Linked DNA regions of Saccharomyces cerevisiae S288C. Changing the gene in region 2 together with the main gene of any one other region gives a genetic interaction. Each region holds a gene or a part of one and is shown on either strand. Other genes may lie near its edges.

Region 1 (7,292 bases), on a different chromosome or scaffold from region 2:
CTGATTGTTGTATTTGTTACCCCAGAATTGCCATATATAGTGGAGAAGAAATCGAAAAGGTCATATACAGCAGAACCAAAAAAAATAATACATTCGTTGATCCTTTACCGTTTTCAAGAGTGAAACGTGATCGTGTTTATACTTTTTCGACTCAAATTTGTCCTTATCTTTAGTTAATACGGTCTAACTTGCCACGCTACTCAAGAAATGACCTCGATTCAGGAGCGAGGCACAAGCGCTCATCTGCATTCGCTTAAAGAAGGTGAGGCTAGTGATCGTTCCAGCGAGATGCTTCCTAAACAAAGAAGTATCATAGGATCCCACGTGCAACGTCCACCGTCTCAAACAACTTTAGGAAGGTCAAGGGCTGGAAGCAATACAATGAATAAAGTTTCAGGCTTAGATATTGCTCGAAGACCAAGTGAGAATTTATTATCAAACATGAACTGTAGCGACAACGGCAATGGGGGAAATATGCTAAATTCATTCGTTAACTCGGCTTTACCACCGCCAAAAGTCAACCCTGCTCAAACAAGACGTGAACGTCCCGCTTCAAATAGCTCAATAGGTACCAAGACTACCGAGGTATTTTCATCCACTTCTGCATCTTCCTCCTTGGGAGATACCAGCGATGAGGGAGAAGGCAGTGATGCCGACAAATCTAAAATAAATACTTTTCCCAGCATATTGATGGAAAAGGCTACTCAAGGTAGAGGCGCTGATGGAAATGGAATGAGAAGCGCAAGCAATAATACCATTGTGGAAGCAACTACGGACGGTTCCAAAATGGCACTGCAAAAAAGCATGTCGTTTGATGATACAGCCGCAGAGAAAACTATGAATAAATCTAGACATTCTTACCAAGAACAGTTCTCCTCGAAGAAAAGCCAGTCATCTTTACTGAACAGCAAGCAAAGATCACGTGCTAAATCGCAAACATGCTCGTCTACGGGTTATAACAACAGCAGCATTCTGAAAACGTTTGGCATAAGCTCCAAAATTTCTAATTCAAGTGATCGGATAGAGGCTTCGTCATTAGAATTTAACGTTCCATCTCAGAAACCTTTGAATTGCAAGCCATTAACTCCGTCTCAGAAATACAGACTTCGTAAAGAGCAATCGGAGATGAATTTAAGAAATACAATCAAAAGAAAAGAGAAATTTTATGATAGTCAAGAACAAATTCTTGAGTTACAAGAGGGAGACGTTGATGATTCGTTGATTTGGAACGTTCCTATGGCATCATTATCTACTAATTCATTTCTAGCGTCTGCTAAGCCCGATGATATGAATAACTTGGCTGGCAAGAATGACTTATCAGAATATACCGGAGGTTTGGTAAATGATAACTCTGAAATTTCTTATACAAAACAAAATCATAGGTACTCGAACATCTCTTTTGCGAGTACAACATCAAACGCCTCATTATTGGACTTTAATGAGATGCCTACGTCTCCGATTCCAGGTTTGAACAAAGTAACTGATTTTCAGTTCATTCAAGACACAACCAAGAGTCTAGCCTCTGTTTATTTGCATTCTTCCAATAGGCTTTCAAGATCTAAGCTGTCCGAAAGAACAAAGTCTTCCGATTTCTTGCCAATTGAACTAAAAGAAGCTCAAAATCAAGGCATGGAAGATTTGATACTTGTCTCGGAGAACAAACTAGATGTGGTCAGCCATTCAAGACCGAGTTGGTTACCACCCAAGGATCGCCAGGAAAAAAAGCTTCATGAAAGGCAAATTAACAAAAGCATGAGTGTTGCTTCCCTTGACCAACTAGGAAAAAATAAAGACAGAGAAGAAAAGTTGATTAGAGATGAAACAAATAGGCAAAAATATGTGTTATTATTGGACAGAGATATAACTAGAAACTCCTCCTTACAAAGCCTAAGTAAAATGGTTTGGGACACTCCATTTAGTGACGAAACTAGGTCAACAATTTACAGCGAAATTTTACAGAGCAAGACTAGGTTTATTACCAAAAACTATATTCAACCATTTCATGAGCTACAGGAGCTTTTAACAAAAATGGGAGACTTTCCTAAAAACAAGGAAATTGAAATATCGCAGCTAATCGAAACAAGTTTGAGGCGAAAAGTGAGCGGTTTACATGATATATGTCCTGATTTGATGCTTTTATTGAAGATAAAATCTATCTCATCACAGGGTATAGTCACCGGTGATGAACTCCTTTTCCATCATTTCTTGGTGAGTGAATCATTTCAGAACCTGGGGCTAAACGAGATTTGGAATATTGTTAATTTAGTACAAATGACGTGTTTTAATGATCTTTGTAAAGAAAAGTTCGATGCAAAGGTTTTAGAACGTAAGGGTGTCGTAGCCGGTTATTTATCGCAAAACGAGGAGTTCAAGGATGAATTTAATACGGAGTGTATAAACTCTACCACCTGGTGGAACATCCTAGAACGTATTGATCATAAGCTTTTTATGTGGATCATGGATATTATAGTAGTCAACAATTCCCAGAGCTACAAAAATAGCCCAATCAACGAAGATGAGTTTGTTAACAAGGATTGGGAATATTACCGCTCGAAGAAAGTGGTAATAAACTACAAGATCTTGATTTCATTTGCATTAAATGTATTGTTAAATTACCACTTTGGATTCACTGATTTAAGAAGTCTTTGTAACGTGAATGACCAGAGATTTTGCATTCCAGTATTCATCAATGATGAATTCGTAGACGCAGATACTGTAAATGCCGTGTTCATCAAGAAATGGGCGCATTACTACAAGAAGTTTTGATATTTTTTGTAACTGTAATTTCACTCATGCACAAGAAAAAAAAAACTGGATTAAAAGGGAGCCCAAGGAAAACTCCTCAGCATATATTTAGAAGTCTCCTCAGCATATAGTTGTTTGTTTTCTTTACACATTCACTGTTTAATAAAACTTTTATAATATTTCATTATCGGAACTCTAGATTCTATACTTGTTTCCCAATTGTTGCTGGTAGTAAACGTATACGTCATAAAAGGGAAAAGCCACATGCGGAAGAATTTTATGGAAAAAAAAAAAACCTCGAAGTTACTACTTCTAGGGGGCCTATCAAGTAAATTACTCCTGGTACACTGAAGTATATAAGGGATATAGAAGCAAATAGTTGTCAGTGCAATCCTTCAAGACGATTGGGAAAATACTGTAATATAAATCGTAAAGGAAAATTGGAAATTTTTTAAAGATGTCTTCACTGGTTACTCTTAATAACGGTCTGAAAATGCCCCTAGTCGGCTTAGGGTGCTGGAAAATTGACAAAAAAGTCTGTGCGAATCAAATTTATGAAGCTATCAAATTAGGCTACCGTTTATTCGATGGTGCTTGCGACTACGGCAACGAAAAGGAAGTTGGTGAAGGTATCAGGAAAGCCATCTCCGAAGGTCTTGTTTCTAGAAAGGATATATTTGTTGTTTCAAAGTTATGGAACAATTTTCACCATCCTGATCATGTAAAATTAGCTTTAAAGAAGACCTTAAGCGATATGGGACTTGATTATTTAGACCTGTATTATATTCACTTCCCAATCGCCTTCAAATATGTTCCATTTGAAGAGAAATACCCTCCAGGATTCTATACGGGCGCAGATGACGAGAAGAAAGGTCACATCACCGAAGCACATGTACCAATCATAGATACGTACCGGGCTCTGGAAGAATGTGTTGATGAAGGCTTGATTAAGTCTATTGGTGTTTCCAACTTTCAGGGAAGCTTGATTCAAGATTTATTACGTGGTTGTAGAATCAAGCCCGTGGCTTTGCAAATTGAACACCATCCTTATTTGACTCAAGAACACCTAGTTGAGTTTTGTAAATTACACGATATCCAAGTAGTTGCTTACTCCTCCTTCGGTCCTCAATCATTCATTGAGATGGACTTACAGTTGGCAAAAACCACGCCAACTCTGTTCGAGAATGATGTAATCAAGAAGGTCTCACAAAACCATCCAGGCAGTACCACTTCCCAAGTATTGCTTAGATGGGCAACTCAGAGAGGCATTGCCGTCATTCCAAAATCTTCCAAGAAGGAAAGGTTACTTGGCAACCTAGAAATCGAAAAAAAGTTCACTTTAACGGAGCAAGAATTGAAGGATATTTCTGCACTAAATGCCAACATCAGATTTAATGATCCATGGACCTGGTTGGATGGTAAATTCCCCACTTTTGCCTGATCCAGCCAGTAAAATCCATACTCAACGACGATATGAACAAATTTCCCTCATTCCGATGCTGTATATGTGTATAAATTTTTACATGCTCTTCTGTTTAGACACAGAACAGCTTTAAATAAAATGTTGGATATACTTTTTCTGCCTGTGGTGTCATCCACGCTTTTAATTCATCTCTTGTATGGTTGACAATTTGGCTATTTTTTAACAGAACCCAACGGTAATTGAAATTAAAAGGGAAACGAGTGGGGGCGATGAGTGAGTGATACTAAAATAGACACCAAGAGAGCAAAGCGGTCCCAAAATCATTTGAGTAACCGGATATCTATCGGGATATTAATAGCAGCTTCCATTTCAACTAAAACAACAGCAAGATATGAGCGACAAGATATCCTTTCTACCTCCCGAACCCATCCAACTACTTGACGAAGACTCCACGGAGCCTGAACTCGACATTGACTCACAACAAGAAAATGAGGGACCCATCAGTGCGTCAAACAGCAATGATAGCACTAGCCATAGTAATGATTGCGGTGCCACAATTACCAGAACAAGACCTAGACGAAGCAGTTCTATCAATGCAAACTTTAGTTTTCAAAAGGCTCATGTCAGCGATTGCACCATAGTCAATGGCGACCATGGAACAAAGTTTGCTGTCTGGAGAATTACCGTATTTCTTGAACCCAACTTGAAGGCTTTTGCGGCCAAGAGGGAAAGCTATAAAATCCAAACCTATAAACGATACTCCGATTTCGTCAGATTACGAGAGAATTTGCTCACAAGAATCAAGACAGCGAAACCTGAGAAACTTAACTGTTTGCAGATTCCACACCTTCCCCCTTCAGTGCAGTGGTACAGTTCTTGGAAATATCAAGAAGTGAATCTGAACAAGGACTGGCTGGCAAAAAGACAGAGAGGGCTCGAGTACTTCCTCAATCACATCATCCTTAACAGCAGCCTCGTAGAAATGACCAAAGATATACTCATACAGTTTCTAGAGCCTTCAAAACGAGTTGCATAGCTCACCATCCCTATCCAACCGACTATTCTTCTCATCGACTACTACTATCCCATTTAACTCGGGCGCGTTGTTAATTAATCACTCGATGGGGAATGCCTTGAGCTGACCGCAATGAAAACTTTTAGGGGATCGTCCAACATTAAAGGAAGAACGAAACGGACTCCACAGTTTCTAATATAAATAAACAATGATAAAACATATAGTTTCGCCATTCAGGACGAATTTTGTTGGCATCAGCAAGTCCGTGCTGTCAAGGATGATTCATCACAAGGTTACAATCATAGGTTCTGGCCCCGCTGCCCACACCGCTGCTATATACTTGGCAAGAGCAGAGATGAAGCCCACATTATATGAGGGAATGATGGCCAACGGAATTGCTGCTGGTGGCCAATTGACAACAACCACCGATATCGAAAATTTCCCAGGGTTTCCTGAATCGTTGAGTGGCAGTGAACTGATGGAGAGGATGAGGAAACAATCTGCCAAGTTTGGCACTAACATAATTACCGAGACTGTCTCTAAAGTCGATTTATCTTCAAAACCATTCAGATTATGGACCGAATTTAATGAGGATGCAGAGCCTGTGACCACTGATGCTATAATCTTGGCCACGGGTGCTTCCGCTAAGAGAATGCATTTACCAGGGGAGGAAACCTACTGGCAGCAGGGAATATCTGCCTGTGCTGTATGTGATGGTGCAGTCCCTATCTTTAGAAACAAGCCATTGGCCGTTATTGGTGGTGGTGACTCTGCGTGTGAGGAAGCGGAATTTCTTACGAAGTATGCGTCGAAAGTATATATATTAGTAAGAAAGGATCATTTTCGTGCATCTGTAATAATGCAGAGACGAATTGAGAAAAATCCAAACATCATTGTTTTGTTCAACACAGTTGCATTAGAAGCTAAGGGTGATGGTAAGTTATTGAATATGTTGAGAATTAAGAATACTAAAAGTAATGTGGAGAACGATTTAGAAGTAAATGGACTATTTTACGCAATAGGTCACAGCCCTGCCACAGATATAGTTAAAGGACAAGTAGATGAAGAAGAGACGGGGTATATAAAAACTGTGCCTGGATCGTCTCTGACTTCTGTGCCAGGTTTTTTTGCTGCAGGTGACGTTCAGGACTCTAGGTATAGACAAGCAGTTACTTCTGCTGGTTCCGGATGCATTGCTGCTTTGGATGCAGAACGGTACCTAAGTGCCCAAGAGTAACGTGAAAAAACCGGTTTATTTTTGTTTTTACTGTTCGATTGTGTTACGTATTCTATGTTTTTTGAGATATATTTGAAATATTTTTATAAGATACATATATATATGTGCGTATTGCTGCGACAAAAGAAGAGACAAAGAGATAGGCGTTGAAATTGACGAGACAAAGAGGAAGACATTAATTAATCATCATTTTAAATGGGATTTTTTTACTTGCAAGCTTTTGACCTGCTCTTCTAGTTTTTTTACCTTTCCTTGAATTTCTTCCAAGTCACCGTTCAGTCTGATTCTTTCGTTAACAATGTTTTGCTCCCATTGTCTAAATCTTTGCTCCTCAGCTTTGACTTGGTCAGTGAAATACTTCTTCAATGCATTTTCTTCTTCTTTGTATCTAGGATTGTGTGACAATTTCCTTGCTGGTGCAATTGCTGGAAGAGTGAAATCTTCATTCCCCTCCCCGGTGTTCTCGTGACCCTCAAGTCTTAATCTTCTGTATGTTTCGTAATGCATTTCTTGGGTGGTAGAAATCAAATCTAATAGATAAGTCCTCAGTAACAGGGCTCTGAGCTTACGGAAATCACAATGAGAATCGTTTTCGATTTCCACAAGTCCCCAAGGATACTTCCTTGCAACTACCTGAGTGCCTTGCCCATTGTCAAATTTTTTTTCAGACCCTACTATGGCAAATGGCATTGCTTCTATCAACTGTCTTGCATGTTCAACAGCGGCAGAATCTGGATTACTGCCACTTTTGGCATCTTCCTTAGAATCAGCGTCTAATGGAGGCGTGAAAATACGAATTTCTTGAGCTTCTATTACTTGCCTGATTCTGGACTTGAACTGTTGTAATTCTTGGGCAGTCAATGTATCAGCTT
Region 2 (7,275 bases):
CCTTTGGTGCAGAACATTGTCCACACGAGACACAAATTTTGGTCTTAAGCTGGAGATATGTTCATAAGTGGAAGGCGTAGATGATTTCCAAACCTTTTTTGGCATTTTTGGTTGTAATGTATAGTGTGTTACAATTTATTTGTATCTTTCAAGATTGGTTGATTAATAATTAATTTTCTTATCTAATATCTACAATTCAGGCGAATATAAACTTTTCGGATCTTCTTTTTTCCCTCCCTTTATACTGGAAGCTACAGAACTGAAAAAAAAAAAAAAAAAACATAGAACATTAAGGGGACAGACTGCATGGAAAAGGAAAAGGTAAAAAAAAGCCCCGAAATGGTACTCTTAAATATGAGATGATAAACGAGGATTCGAAGGAAAATAGCCCAACTATCTACGAGTTGAAATTAAAAGGGAGTAGTGAGCGCCACTATGTGTGCTCACTGTGTATAGCTAAGCAATTACATAAGGGATAGTACATAAACCACCGTATGTTAGGAAAGAGGAAAAAAAGGAAAGACAAAGGTCTTTTGCCTATTGTATGACTTAGCCTTTCTTTGTTATACCCCGGCGCGTTCCAAAAAGGGAAGCCAGCACAGCACCGCATATTGAATACCGCCTTCTCACGTGGTACAGGCACAACTATCTTGCATGTGCCTCTGGGTCTTTCTTAGCGACAGCCTTTTAAGATTCTGAATTGTAAACATCGAGCTTCATCCGAGAAACGAAAGAGGGAATCTTGAAATGGACTATGTCACCATTAGATCCTCCCTCTTCTCCATATAGCCGGTTTTTGTCTTATTTCTTTGCTGGAAAGAAAAAAAAGAAATTGCTTGGTTAATTACTGGTAACCCTCTTTTCTTGAGGCCTTACTTCGTTGGCTTCAGAAATCTGAAAGAGTCTTTATTAGGAGCGATACCAGTATCTATACAACATTATACCATCACTATATATTACAAAAAAAAAAATAACCCCGATAGCGTGCTAGAAATGAATAAAAAAAAAAAAAACAGAATTATGTACGTGAATGCTTGTGAGTTACTGCCTTTCCCATAGGTGGTAACGTTAATTTCTTACTCTTTTTTTTTTTTAATCGTCGTAACCTCTGCCAATGAAGTCACTGGCCAGAAATGGTTTGTAGGCAGTAACAAGACTATCTGAATCAACAGTGCCAACAAAATCATTGATTACGGGGTGTAGCGCCACAGTGTTCCTCTTCCCGAATTGGTTGCTCGATCTTCTTGTGCCACCTGTGTGGAAAAATTTTAAACATTGACCCTGAAGTTCCTCCGGAGCAGCCACTCGAACTTCGTCTTCGTTGTCATCGTCGTTTCTTGAAAAAGAGTACTCCATGTCCCAGTGGTAGACATTACCCGTTCCTCCAACCGTAACAAATTCTGTTGCAGAGGTTTGTGAGAACAGGATATCGACAACGGAATCGCCGCCAGAATGGAACAACTTGGCTATTTCGTTTTGGATCGGTTCCTCGCCGTTCTGCCTATGTGTGAGGTCAGTAGTAGCCAGTTGCACAGCACGCGCATCCCATAGCTTGATGACACCCGTGCTGAACCCAGTGACAAATAGGTTTTCAGTAACTTGAGAGGAATCGAAGGACGTTAGTCGTCCATTTTTCGGTTCGCTTAGCGTCCAAAGCGGTTTGTCCGCTGTTCTTGTGTCCCAGAATCTTAAAATGTTGTCATCTGAACAAGATGCAAATAAATGGTTGTTAAAAAATCTAACTGAGTGAGCCACGTTGGTCCCTGGAACGTGCACTGTACGTAATATATCTCCCGGTCTATCGGAGTTGTCGATGATTTTCAAGATGCTGTCCTCCTCGTAGCCGTTACTTTGTGACTTTACTACCGTATCCATATTTGTCGACACATCAAAATCTGACACTGCTAATGAACCTGGTCTGGTTAGAGAGTGAATACTAGAGTATCTAGTAGCAGGGCCCATCATTTCCTGTACGATATGAACGGGAACCTTGATCTCATCTCTGAACCATGCCAAAGAGCCGTTCTTGGACATCGCGATCGCCGTACTGTCGTCTGAGCTTTCCAAGTATTGCATTTTTGCCACTGTTTCGCCCTGGTAAATCCACTTTGGGCGCAATGGTTTCCCCTCAACATCTTGGAAAGCATCACCATACTCTGGATTTGGGGTGGCTGCAGACTTCGTCTTGCCGTTACCTTCTTCGTCGTCGTCGTCGTTGTCGTCGTCGTCGTCGTCGTCATAGAATGTCTTTAATGGTAAAGTAGTGTCTATTTCGTAAATATCACTACCTTGAGAATATAAAAGACTAGTCGTCAAGGTGCCCTTGGATTTGTCTGGAATAATCTCACTTCTCCATGTCAGTGTCTTGCTAAAATGTAAAACATCGTCGACTCTTGTGCTGAATTGTGGTTTAAAGCTAGAAATGTGTTGGTATAAAGAAGGTGCCGGTTTACGGCGTGCTCCACTCGCACCCTGACTGGATTTGCTTTTCGCCATCCTCTATCCTTTTTAGTTCTTGCTCCCGTCGCTACTAATTGCTCCTTGTCTTATAAGTAAATGTAGCTGTACAGCAGAGATGTTCCATACGTCAGCTAACTAATTGCCTTTAATCTTTTTTTTTTTTATTTTTTTTTTTTTTCAAAAACAATAGAATTGAAGATGTGAGATGGAAAGGGAAATCAAAGTGCCATAAATGGTAAAGGCTTGCATTATGACCCGAATGGGTAAGAATGATCCAATGAGAGTCTGCGGACGCATATGTGCGGAATATGACTTAGCAGTTCGAACCCCGAACGGGGCTAAAAAACCAAAAGGACAAACCTTATGCGGAACATCTACCATCTATTCAAGGGAGTATAGCTTCCGTGTAGACTATAGAAGAAGCGTTCCAGTCAATTCTACTACATCAGTCTTCCGACATCGCTGATTGTATCCTAACCAGGTCCACAACTAAAATTTGTTTTGAAAAGAGTGGCTAGAGAGCGAATACGTGCTCTGTAATTGTGTGAGGCAAGTTGGTCGTCAATTGGAAAATAAGTAAGGAAAACCTTGTGTAGATTGTATTGCTCCTAACAGGTCCCGAATTACTAGGGCATATACCAGTTAGCCCAGAGTTTTGTTTATTACGATGATAAAGTTGCATGAAGTGCCTCCAGAACCAGTAGACCCTGCTAGTCTCCCTCATGATGTTAATGCACATAGCCCCGAAGGAGATGGTAATCCTGATAAGAGGAAAAAAATATTTGGCATTCCGTATCCTTTTTCCAGGAGTTCATGTCGGAGATTCCTTTGGAACTGTCAAAAGATTTCGGTACTGCCCATGGCATTGTATTTCCCACTACATGCAGCAAATACATTAATCACGCCGGCAGTATCACCTGATTCTGCTCCTGACGACGTTTTAATGATGGTGAGAGAGATTTTACCGTCCATAACTACCAAGCTGTTAGTTGCGGGTATTACTCTTCATGTTTCTGCTGGTGTCTTGCTCCGAATCGTGAACAACTGGAACAAGCCAAGAAGAAATAGACATCGACATTTAAAGATATCGGCCGAACAAGATCTATCCCAAGATTCGATTGGTTTAACTGGTGGAATTTCTGGCTATTTATTTGGATTGTATAAGACCTTCCGCATTCCTCCACAAGTGATTAGTGGATACATCCTTGTTCCCGTCCTGATATACCACTTATTAATTATGAAATGGGTGCCGAATTCCATCTCTACTGAGGTGGATTTCGCCTCTATAAAGCAATTACTATCTAGCAAGAACAGGTGGTGGAAATGGCTTGGAGGCCTGGTGCCGTTAGCTATTCTCCTCGAGTCAGGTGTATATCATATAGGTTCGGGGCTCTGCCGTTATTTCGGTGTTAGAAAAATGACTAGCAGGAAAAAATGGTCCACAGCTATCAATCTATTAACACTCGTTGGGTTCGTTTCTCTGATTAGATTGATGAAAGAGGATTCTACGAAACTGGGTCCCAACCAATTCGAAAGCATTTTCAAAAAGATCCGGTTGCTGTTGCACGTGAATTAGGAATCCTTGTGGGAGTAGTGTGAAGCTATTAATTTGCGACAATTCTCGAACAGTTAATTATATTATTCTCAGTATTTATTTTAAATTTCTGTATTTTTATCTGATTAATAACATTAGTGTGCATAATGAAGGCAAAAAATTTCGGCAGAAAGTATATGATTATGAAAAAACGTAAAATACATATACACATAAAACGTACATACATATATAGATTCCTAAGAATACATTATTGATGGGATATTTATACAAAGATGCACCTTCTAATAATCGAAAGAGAAAGGAAAGACAGAAGCATAAAATAATTTAGGTTTTACTGTGACGAACATTAGACAGATCGTTCAATAGTTTGTCATATTTTTTTGTCACTGTTTCATCTTCAACAAGGGGCCTCTGCAAAGGCGCCTTTTGTTGTGATTCTTGTAAACTGTCATTACTCGGGCTTCTAGAGTTCAATTCATCTCCATATAATGATTCCAATCCAACCTTTTCAGAGGTAACATTTTTAATCAGATCATCTACAGAATCAATACCCTTAGCTTTAATAATGGCATCCCTTAATTCGGCACCGGTAGGAATCTTTGGTAAGATTTTTGGCCTTGTACCAGATGTGCGAGAGGATTCCCCTTTCTTTCCTCCGGCGACACTGCTATCTGGTGTTAACGACCCGCTAATTCTCGAAGAATTGGCGGATGAAGGAAGCCCAGAGTTATGTCTTGAGCTTTGGTGCTGTACAAACACACCCCATTTATGTAATTCACCTTCCTCTTCTTCCTGTCTCTTGCCGGCCAGTGAGGTATTAGACGAACTCTTGAAAAGAAGAGCTTTACCAGTGGTCACATCGATGATTCGTCCCGAGTCGGTGGCCATTAAGTGTGGTCTAATTGATGAATCGTTTTCAGGAATTGAAACATCGTTGATTAACCTGTCAGAATCTAAGTGTTTTAGAGATGGACGAATACCATCATTATAGTTTGCGCTAACCGTGCTATCCCCAATATTAGGGAAACTATTATCGGCTTTTGAAAATGGTACGACATCTGCTATATTGGGCATAGAAGCAAAAATATCAAGAATATTTGATAAATTTTTCTCAAGAAGCAATAACCTTAGTAGGTTTTCCTTTTCCTGCAGTGGCAGTTCGCCGGATTTTCTTTTCTCAAACATAGAATCAATTGTATTTTGAACATTATGATGTACCTTTTCCATTTTCTCAAAATATTTCTTTAAAAGATATTTCTTCCCAACATCATTTTGAAGTAAAGATTTGTCATTTAATCTTTTCAAAACTTCTTCTGCTGTCTCAGTTATCAAGGAACCATCAAATATTAAATCATCTTGTACAGTCAATTCATCTAATTTAAAGCTAGAGTCCATAATTCTCTTCATATTATGCATTAAGCATAACGCAATTCTTGATTGAATTTCGTCTGGTACTTGATCATAGTCAACGTCTAAACTAACTAAATTGTGAGAGTCCCTAACAAATGCATACAATGAGGCCCAAAGCGTATTTCTCATAAATACGATTTGTTCTTTCTTTTCATCTTTCGACTTATCGGGTTCATCAGTACTGTCGGATATTTTACTTGCATCGGGCATAGGACTTTGTCCTATCAATGAAACATGAGAGAGGGTTTCACACTTAGCTAATATGCTGACAAGCATGGTTGTTTCTTTTATAGAAAGATCGTCGAAATCAAAATGAATACGTTTCAGTTGTGGAAATTGGGGAAAATACTTATAGCCGGATGTTAAAATCCCCGGGAATAACTGAGGCAAGTTGCTCAAATCTAGAAATTTTATGCTTGGCAAACGTGAAAGATATTTTAGTATGTAGGACATATCATCAACAGAGGTGATATTAGTGCTGTTAAGGGTAAAATATTCCAAATGCTTATAAGGAAGCCTAGCTAGTTTTTTGATCATTCGTTTTGCCAAACTTTCTAAATTATTATAGGCCAAATCCACACCTTGAACGTTATATTCAGACATCCAATTAAAGAGAAAATCAAAACACTCGGTTGAGAATTCTACGTTAGCCATCCCGAGACGAATAGGGTTTTTAGGGTTCATTTGTGCGAAAGTAAGTAGGATATTTTTGAAATGACTGAATGACATTTTGTCAAACCTTAAACCATTCAAAAGCAATTCTTCCAAAGGTCTACCTTCTCTATTTCTAAGAACTTCGCAAAATAGTTCCCAGTCCATTTGGTCTCTGTAGTTAGAATCATTTAAATCTGTCCTTGCTTTAGTCTGAGAAATATCCAGCTTGATCAATGTTTTATTTTGTAATAAAAACTTGCAAAGTAGTTTCCAACTTTGTTCGTTTATCACAACATTTCTTAACCCCAATTTCTCCACTACCGGAGAGGTTACCAAAGAACAAATGACAATCTTGAACATATCATGGGTTAAGGACACATTATCGAAAATGATGTTATGGATCGGAGTTATGGCAATAAAATCACAAAATGATAATATATCCACTAAGGTTGGTTTTGGATTCAAAAATTTCAAAGTCTGCAAAGGTGCGGTTTTACCTTTGACCTGTCTCAAAGTGGACGGTATTGGTAAAATTTCTCTCAAATGACAGCATCTAGTGTAAGCTACGTCCAATGTTTGTTCAAGGTGAGAAGAGTATTTAATGTTATCATCCTGATGTGTTTCGAAAGGATGTGCACCTACATTGATCGGTTTATCGATATGAAGCTTAGAAGCTCTAGCATCTAGAGAGGAGGATTCTTGATCCGTCGCTGAATCTGCTGCTGAATTAGTTGCTCCAGTTAACGGCGATGTCTTCAATTGCCTGGCCTTATAGTTTGCCACTTCTTGAGCCATTCGCTCTGCAACATAATACGCATCCTTTTGATGTTTTTCGGCTTCTTTAGCTGCTTTTTTAAAATTTTCCAAAGCTAATTTATATTCTTTAGAATCTTTTGAATATGAGGGAGAGATATTGGACTGAAAACTGCTTTGATCGCTGCTGTTTGTAATTCCCAGAGAGATTAGTGGGGGGGCACTAATCATATCTTCTGGTATGAGAACATTACCCCTTTTAGGCTTCCTAGAAGGTAGTTGTTGTGGGGGATCTGAGTTAAATTCTTGAACTGCAATAGTAACCCTTTTCAAATTTACCTTTGACACCTTCTGTAATTGTTTTTGCGTAGTTTCTTTTTCTAAAATGGGAGGGAGGTCTGATGATTCAGAATGGGGCGAGTCTTGTTCACGACCACTACTAT
Region 3 (7,612 bases), on a different chromosome or scaffold from region 2:
TTGCATGTCACAAGATACTTGATCGTAACCTCCTGAAGGTCCCTTTCAGAAACACATGGAGTGTAGTTTACTAGGAAGGAAGAAGAGACATCGAAAACTTTTTCACTTTATATAGGTGAGAAAAATGGTGCAAGAGAGCATGACCGTGTATGGTGACATATAAATGGTTGTTGGCAGCGAATTTAACAACACTGCAGATGTAGATGTCGTAGCTATCCTTCTCACGTTGTTGAATGCTGACTATTTTGTTATTAAGCAACGCCTTGTTAGTGCTTGTTTTACAAAGCGTATTAAATGGTATTTTATTTATGCTATCGCTTTATTATCTTTATTTTCATCACGTAACACGGTGTGTGCGCCATATTAATGTTGCAACAGTCGTGAGGTGATTAACAAACAGTATCAGACTAAACTCACCCTTTGGTGATATGCAATTTCTTGAGGCGCAAAAGGTTGATCCTGAAAGCTTTTGTGATAGACTACCTTCAAGCAAAGCGAACGTAAACGGCAAAGATGGATACCAGCAACCACAACCAAGACCACGACTCCCACGTGGCGGCACAGAGGGAGAACGACAATAATTATATGCCACCTTCCCCCTCCATGAGCGAGAGTTCTATGATTTTTGAAAGAAATGTAGAGGACCCATCATACCTTTATAAAACGGTGTCAAACAACGCTGCAAACTCTCTCTCTAGGCAGAGCAGCAGGACCAGTTTGTTCAATCATAATAATTCTAGTAATAGGAACTTCCATAACTTAAGCCAGAGATCGTCTGCTGTGAATCTACATTTGCAACCTTCTAGGACTAATGAGTCAATAGCATCGTACCAGACATACAATCCGGATTTTGTTGTGCAGACTCCACTGGATCACCGTCGTACCTTAGAGAATTTCGTCCCTCCTGCATTAGACGCTGGCTGTTCTATTGTAACTGACGACACGACTGGCCTTGATGACGTTGATATGGTTTATTCGAGAAGGCCATCTACCATCGGCCTGGATAGAGCCCTAGGTAGGACAAGAAGTCTTTCGTCACAATCTTTTGATAACGAAACGTCGCCTGCGCATCCAAGATCTCCCAACGACCATGGTTCAAGACTACTAAGGTTTTATTCCTACGCTGACATGTTGTCCGATGACAACAATAACAACGTTAGTAATGCGACATCAACATCATCAACTGCGAACCCCTTGAGAAGACCCCCAATGCAAGGTCACTACTCGTTCTCGTCGTCCCTTTTGAATTCTCCTTCTCATTTGCCTTCCCCCCCATCAGCTTCGGCATCACCACCTCAGCATATGAACTTCACCAACCCTTTCATCATATCTAGACGTTACTCTAACACAACGATCAACAATGCCAATGGGGGAACCAGCGCTGGAAGCACTACGGGGGCCGCACTATCAAGATCGCCATCGAACCAACAGTACTTACTTAAACAACAAAGGTCACCTTCAGGGAGCGCCCGTTCAAGAAGAAACAGCAATAGGCCCGGCAGTGCTGCCAACATTATGATCGGGAAACCTAAATCCAAATTCCATATGGAATCCAGTGGCAGTGAAGGGTTTTCTTCCGAAGAGGAGGACAACACTATGATTGAAAGAGATAAACTCAATCTAAAGCAAAAATTGCAGTCACAACTGGCACAACCACCATCAATTGCCAACATGGTTAACGATAATCACAATAATACTAATAAACACAAGAATACTATTAATAATAACATCAAAAATAGCCCTGCGTTCACAAACTCGAATCCAAGTTCAAAATCAAATTCAAACTCTACAATAACCTCTATGAATCCAGACACAACCAAATAAAGAAAACTGAAGGGCCGCGATTGTTCATTTCTTCAACCTTCTTCTCCTACTCTAAAAATTCATTTAAGTCTCTTTTTTCCATATATATAGATATATAACGGTATTTTATGTATGCACGTATACCCCAATAATGCCACTAATTTACTCCGTTTTCCAATCCATAATCAGCAAAGACCATATGTGATTTCAAATATAAAAAATGAGAAACATGTGAATATGTATATATGTTATGCGGGAACCAACCCTTTACAATTAGCTATCTAACTAGTCCTTTTTCGAGCTCCAGAATTTACCATCACCCTTATCATTCCATTCTTTGAATTTGTTCTTGGCTTCATCGTACTTTTTCAACGCTTCATCGTACTTCTTTTGGGCCTCATCTTTTAAAGCCTGCTTGTCATTGTCGACCTTGGAAGTCCATCCAGACCACCAGTGGCTGCCGTACTGTTTCAAGTCCTCCTTCGCCTTAGATAACGAGTCCATGGCATCGGACACGTTCTTATCCAGTTGTTTCTTTGAATTCTCATAATTCCATCTTAAATCGTCCATTTCGTCCTTGGAAAGTTGAGCGGCTGTTTCACCCCATCCTTCTAAACCTCTGGCTACCCGTTCAGCAATCTGTTGCTCGCTTTGCTCCCCTTTGTTGTAACCAAACCAGCCCTTTTCCTTGATCTTCTTCAGCTCGTCAAGACGTTTTTGCGCCTCGCTTGGCTCTGAAGAAGCATTTCTCTTGGCTTCCTCCAACTCTTCTCTACCAAACTCCTGTGCCGTATCACCCCAGCCTTGGACACTTCTTGCAGCGGCTTCTTCAGTATTAGCGTCACCCGTGTTATTCTTCAACAGGCGTTTCAAAGGATTACTGTTCCTTTCCTGTTGGTCTAGCTTGTCCGAAAGCTCATTAAAGTCTCTGGCTCTCCCGTACCTTTCGTACTCAATGGATGCTCTGTCCAGAGCGGCCTTCTTCTCTCTCATCACCGTGGACAAGAGCTCCTTCTCATTACGATCCACTGCCTCTTCGAAACGCTTCTTAGCAGTATCAAATTCCCCGATGGCTATGGCTTTCCTTCTTTCAGCCTCACTAAACCCCCAATTGAAGATGCTTTGCGAGGAAGAATCCTTGGCTTTTTGGCCTAGCTGCTTGCGTGTCTGAGCATCCTCTTCCGGTGATATCACACGCTTAGTTACCTTTGGAGCCTCTTCCCTAGCCTTTTGAGATACGCCCAGAAGCGCGTCTTTTAACGACAAGGCATCTTCCTTTATGCCTTGCTTTATGTTATGTAGCTTTCCCAACTGTGGGGGTGCTGAACTGCCGTACTCCTGGCCGTTGTAGTAAGCGGAGACGTTGCCCTCTCTTCTCTGACCCTTGGCCTTCTGTTCTCTGACCATGATGCTAGCTGTGATGGCAGCTGCCAATGCTGCACTGCCGACAATTATTCTTGATGACATCCTTATCTGCTTGTTTTATTAAATGATTAACGTTACTGGCCAATCAAAAATACCCTTTATTTCAAGAAAGGGCAAAGAAGCAGGACTTTAGCAAGAACCGTTTCCCCTTATATATACTCCTCTTCAAGGAACTCGACAAAATAAGGGTCAACAAACTCCTCCCTTAACCCACACGGGCCACCGGCGAGCTTGTGCTCCTGCGAATAGCAGTACACTATTGGTTGTTGCAAATCCTGACGATTCACTTTCAAACACCATGCAGGCAGGAGAGTCAAACAAGACTGTTTGCTGTGTTATTGTCACCGCTGATGGTTGTGATGACCACCGCTTACCTATGACGAGGGGCAACGTCTTCACATTTCATGTTTACCACCAATATGCCAATTATTTTAAGAAATCTGCATAACAGAAGGACGCCAGCTGGCCATAGCATTTATAGATTCCTGCATTAATGTAACCGTCCGCACACCGTATGTATCAGCTTGTCAATTATTATATGAAATGTATATATATTTACGAACTTCAATTTTGTCAACATATTTCTGGAACAAGACTGGCTGGAACGGCTCAGCACACACAGGACAGAATATCAAAATTCTCGAGTACTTTGAGAACCCCCTTCAAGTGAGGTACCACCCTTGGTTGTAGTCTTGTATATTAATCCTTCTTTTCTTTAGTATAAATCGATCCTTTCTATTATACAATTCGCCGGTAATTTTTCAGTGAAAAACGAGTTTTGCAGTCAAACCATTCCTGGATGTGCTATACAAAAAAAAGGTCCGAAGACGTGTAAAGGATATATAACGCCAGGTTGATCATCACTAACCATCATGTCTGATAATTTGTTATCTTTAGAGAATCCGGTGGTGCCTAGTCACTATGAGTTGCGTCTAGAAATTGACCCTAAGCAGTCGTCGCCCAATTTCAAAGGATCCGCCATAATCCATTTGAAATTCAATCCGAACTCCACCACCTTAGCTTCTATCGAAGACAGTTTTACCCAGTTCAAGTTACATTCCAAGGATTTGATTGTGTTGTCTGCACATGCCACCATAGGGTCTACTAAGTTTGATCTAAAAATTTCTCAGGACACTGGAAAGCATTTGTCGATTTTCAACTCTGAATCTCCTATTCAATTGTCCAACGATTGCCCTCTGATTTTGTCCGTGCAATACGTGGGTAAAATTCGTGACATAAAAACACATCATGATAAGACTTTTGGTATTTTCAAAACCAATTTTATGGATCGTAAAACCGGTACTGCCAATAATCACGTCGTTGCTACTCACTGCCAACCGTTTTCCGCTAGCAATATTTTCCCATGTATTGACGAGCCTTCAAACAAGTCCACTTTTCAATTGAACATTGCAACGGATGCACAATATAAAGCCGTTTCCAATACTCCTGTAGAGATGGTCGAAGCTTTGGATAGTTCTCAAAAACATTTGGTGAAATTTGCCAAGACACCTTTGATGACTACTTCCGTATTTGGTTTTTCTATTGGTGATTTAGAATTTTTGAAAACGGAAATCAAGTTGGAAGGTGATAGGACTATTCCCGTTTCAATTTATGCACCTTGGGATATTGCTAATGCAGCTTTCACTTTAGATACAGTCCAGAAATATCTACCTTTGTTGGAATCCTATTTTAAATGTCCATACCCTCTGCCAAAGTTAGATTTCGTCCTACTACCATATTTAAGTGACATGGCAATGGAGAACTTTGGTATGATCACCATCCAACTAAACCACCTGCTCATACCACCAAATGCCTTGGCCAATGAAACCGTCAGAGAGCAAGCACAGCAACTCATTGTCCACGAACTCGTTCATCAATGGATGGGCAACTACATATCTTTTGACTCGTGGGAATCTCTTTGGTTTAATGAGTCTTTCGCTACTTGGTTAGCTTGCCACATACTAGAACAGAATGGTGACCTATCCCATTATTGGACCTCGGAACCTTATTTACTACAGCAAGTGGAGCCGACCATGTGCAGAGATGCAGCTGACGTTAATGGAAGAAGCATATTTCAGATTGCGCAACGGAACACTGGCATAGATTCTCAAACCTCCGATATTTTTGATCCTGAGGCATACACAAAGGGTATTATCATGCTGAGGTCCCTGCAATTGGCTACAGGCGAATCTCATCTACAAAAGGGCCTGGAAAGTGTATTTGAAGATACTAAAACATTTCATGCGAGAAGCGTCAAACCAATGGATATATGGAATCATATCGGAAAATTTTTGAAGTCTCAAAATATTACAAACTTTGTTTCATCTTGGACAAGAACGCCAGGCTTACCTGTCGTTAAGGTCGAAGTAGAAGAGAAAGACGGGAAAACGCAAACAAAATTGACTCAACACAGATTTATCAATCAATTATCTACTGAAGAAAAGGATCAGTTAGAAGATGTCCCATATCAGGTACCCTTATTCGGGGTTCTGCCAGATGGTAAAATGGATACTAAAAATGTACTATTGACGGATAGGACCTTAAAGTTCGATTATCCTATCTTAGTAATTAACCATTTAGCCCAAGGTTATTACCGCGTTTCATATGAGTCCGAAGAGTGCTATGCATTGATTAATGATAAAATAACTGAGGAGACGTTATCCGAGATTGACCTTCGGAAGATTTTCTTAGACTTGTCGCAGTTTATTGGAGATGAGGGTTTCCAGAATTCTATTCATTTGCACGGTCTCTTTAAGATACTAAACCATATCGCTTCTCCTTCCACAAAGATTGCATCAAAATATTGGGATCCTCTTTCCAAGGGGTTGGAAGTTCTGCAAACGATCGATCGTGCCAGTTTAACGAGCTCTAAATTACAATCTTTCTTAAAGAAAAAAATTGTCATTCCCCTTTTCAATAAGATTGATTGGCCCCACGGTGAATTTGATAAAAGCACAAACCCTCACGAGTTGAAAGTCATGTCTCAAGTCTTGTTTTTAAATAAAAACTCCGCAAAATGTGCTGAATTGTGTCAAATTTATTTTAAACATCTATTACAGGGCCCACGTTCGAGCGTACCGTTAGAATTAGTGAACTCAATCCTTGTCGTCGTATCGCAACATTGTGCAAACATCAAGCAGTGGAAGAAAATATTCGATTTGGTGAAACGCAGTTCCTGTACTGGTATCACAAACCATGTCATTAATATGTATGACCAAAACAGTAGCGAAACCGCCATGTTGATTCAAAACGGTGCAATAGAATCTCTTGGATTCTGTTTAGATTCTGATATCGTGAAAAAAACTTTGAATTTTATCACTTCCAATATTGAGTCAGAGGGGATGGAACTGGCATTATTCGGATTTAATTACAACTTTAAGAAGAGGCTGAACAAAAACGAGAAACCTCAAGACCAAGTCGTTCGTGAAACGATCTGGGAGTGGTATATGGGCAATTTTGACCAATGGGCACGGAAGGCTACAAGGAAAGGTACCACCACGGGGGATCATCTACACAAGGCGTTAAGGAGTATTTCCCTGATAATCTTTCAAATGTTTGTAGCAGACGAGCCACAGAAGATAGAAAAGTTTATTAATTTGGAGAAAGAGAAGTTGGGTCAAAGCTTGTTATCTTTGGACGACATCTGGGCCTCTGTCCAGCAAGATGAAGAGTCCAGAAAGACTATAAGAAGAGACTTGGCCTCCTTGGTCTGATTTTTTACAAGTATTTCAACACACTATCGTACGTAGATTTAGTAGTCTTCTAAAATAGTACTATAAACGATGTTCTCTTAGCAGAATTCGAGTTATTATTGTCATATACTACGAAAAACCTGTAGATTCAACAATAATAGGTTGGTATAAAAGAATGTAAACATAAGGAATATTAATCTAGTAATTTTTTTCTCATGAGGTTGAGAAAGCATCTAAAATAGCAATTAGCAAAATGGAGAAGATCAAAGAGAAATTGAATAGCTTAAAATTAGAATCTGAGTCATGGCAAGAAAAATATGAGGAGCTGAGAGAACAGCTCAAAGAATTAGAGCAATCTAACACTGAAAAAGAAAACGAGATTAAATCTTTGTCCGCTAAAAACGAGCAACTCGACAGTGAAGTGGAGAAGTTAGAGAGTCAATTGTCTGATACAAAGCAATTGGCTGAAGACTCCAATAACTTGAGATCTAATAATGAGAACTACACCAAGAAAAACCAGGATCTAGAACAACAGCTAGAAGACAGTGAAGCCAAACTGAAGGAAGCAATGGATAAACTGAAAGAGGCCGATTTGAACTCTGAGCAAATGGGTAGAAGGATCGTTGCTTTGGAAGAAGAAAGAGATGAATGGGAAAAGAAGTGCGAAGAATTCCAAAGCAAATATGAAGAAG

What was found.
Region 1: of MCP1 (region 2) and YPT35, changing one suppresses a phenotype caused by changing the other (phenotypic suppression), as found in Saccharomyces cerevisiae (one study listed by BioGRID).
Region 3: of MCP1 (region 2) and OM45, extra expression of one rescues a mutant of the other (dosage rescue), as found in Saccharomyces cerevisiae (one study listed by BioGRID).

The regions. Positions count from the first base shown.
Region 1 is NC_001140.6:320,207-327,498, forward strand, and holds YPT35 (Ypt35p), read left to right. Parts: upstream 1-4,559; coding exon 4,560-5,204; downstream 5,205-7,292. Other genes in the region: SBE22 (Sbe22p), read left to right, coding at 208-2,766; GRE3 (trifunctional aldehyde reductase/xylose reductase/glucose 1-dehydrogenase (NADP(+))), read left to right, coding at 3,203-4,186; thioredoxin-disulfide reductase TRR2, read left to right, coding at 5,392-6,420; septin CDC12, read right to left, coding at 6,607-7,292.
Region 2 is NC_001147.6:763,630-770,904, reverse strand, and holds MCP1 (Mcp1p), read left to right. Parts: upstream 1-3,127; coding exon 3,128-4,036; downstream 4,037-7,275. Other genes in the region: WTM1 (transcriptional modulator), read right to left, coding at 1-105; WTM2 (transcriptional modulator), read right to left, coding at 1,093-2,496; HER1 (Her1p), read right to left, coding at 4,340-7,275. UniProt on the Saccharomyces cerevisiae protein: Recruits the lipid transfer protein Vps13 to mitochondria thereby promoting vacuole-mitochondria contacts. Involved in mitochondrial lipid homeostasis.
Region 3 is NC_001141.2:89,277-96,888, reverse strand, and holds OM45 (Om45p), read right to left. Parts: upstream 3,271-7,612; coding exon 2,089-3,270; downstream 1-2,088. Other genes in the region: YIL134C-A (uncharacterized protein), read left to right, coding at 164-367; VHS2 (Vhs2p), read left to right, coding at 514-1,824; TMA108 (Tma108p), read left to right, coding at 4,101-6,941; tropomyosin TPM2, read left to right, coding at 7,174-7,612.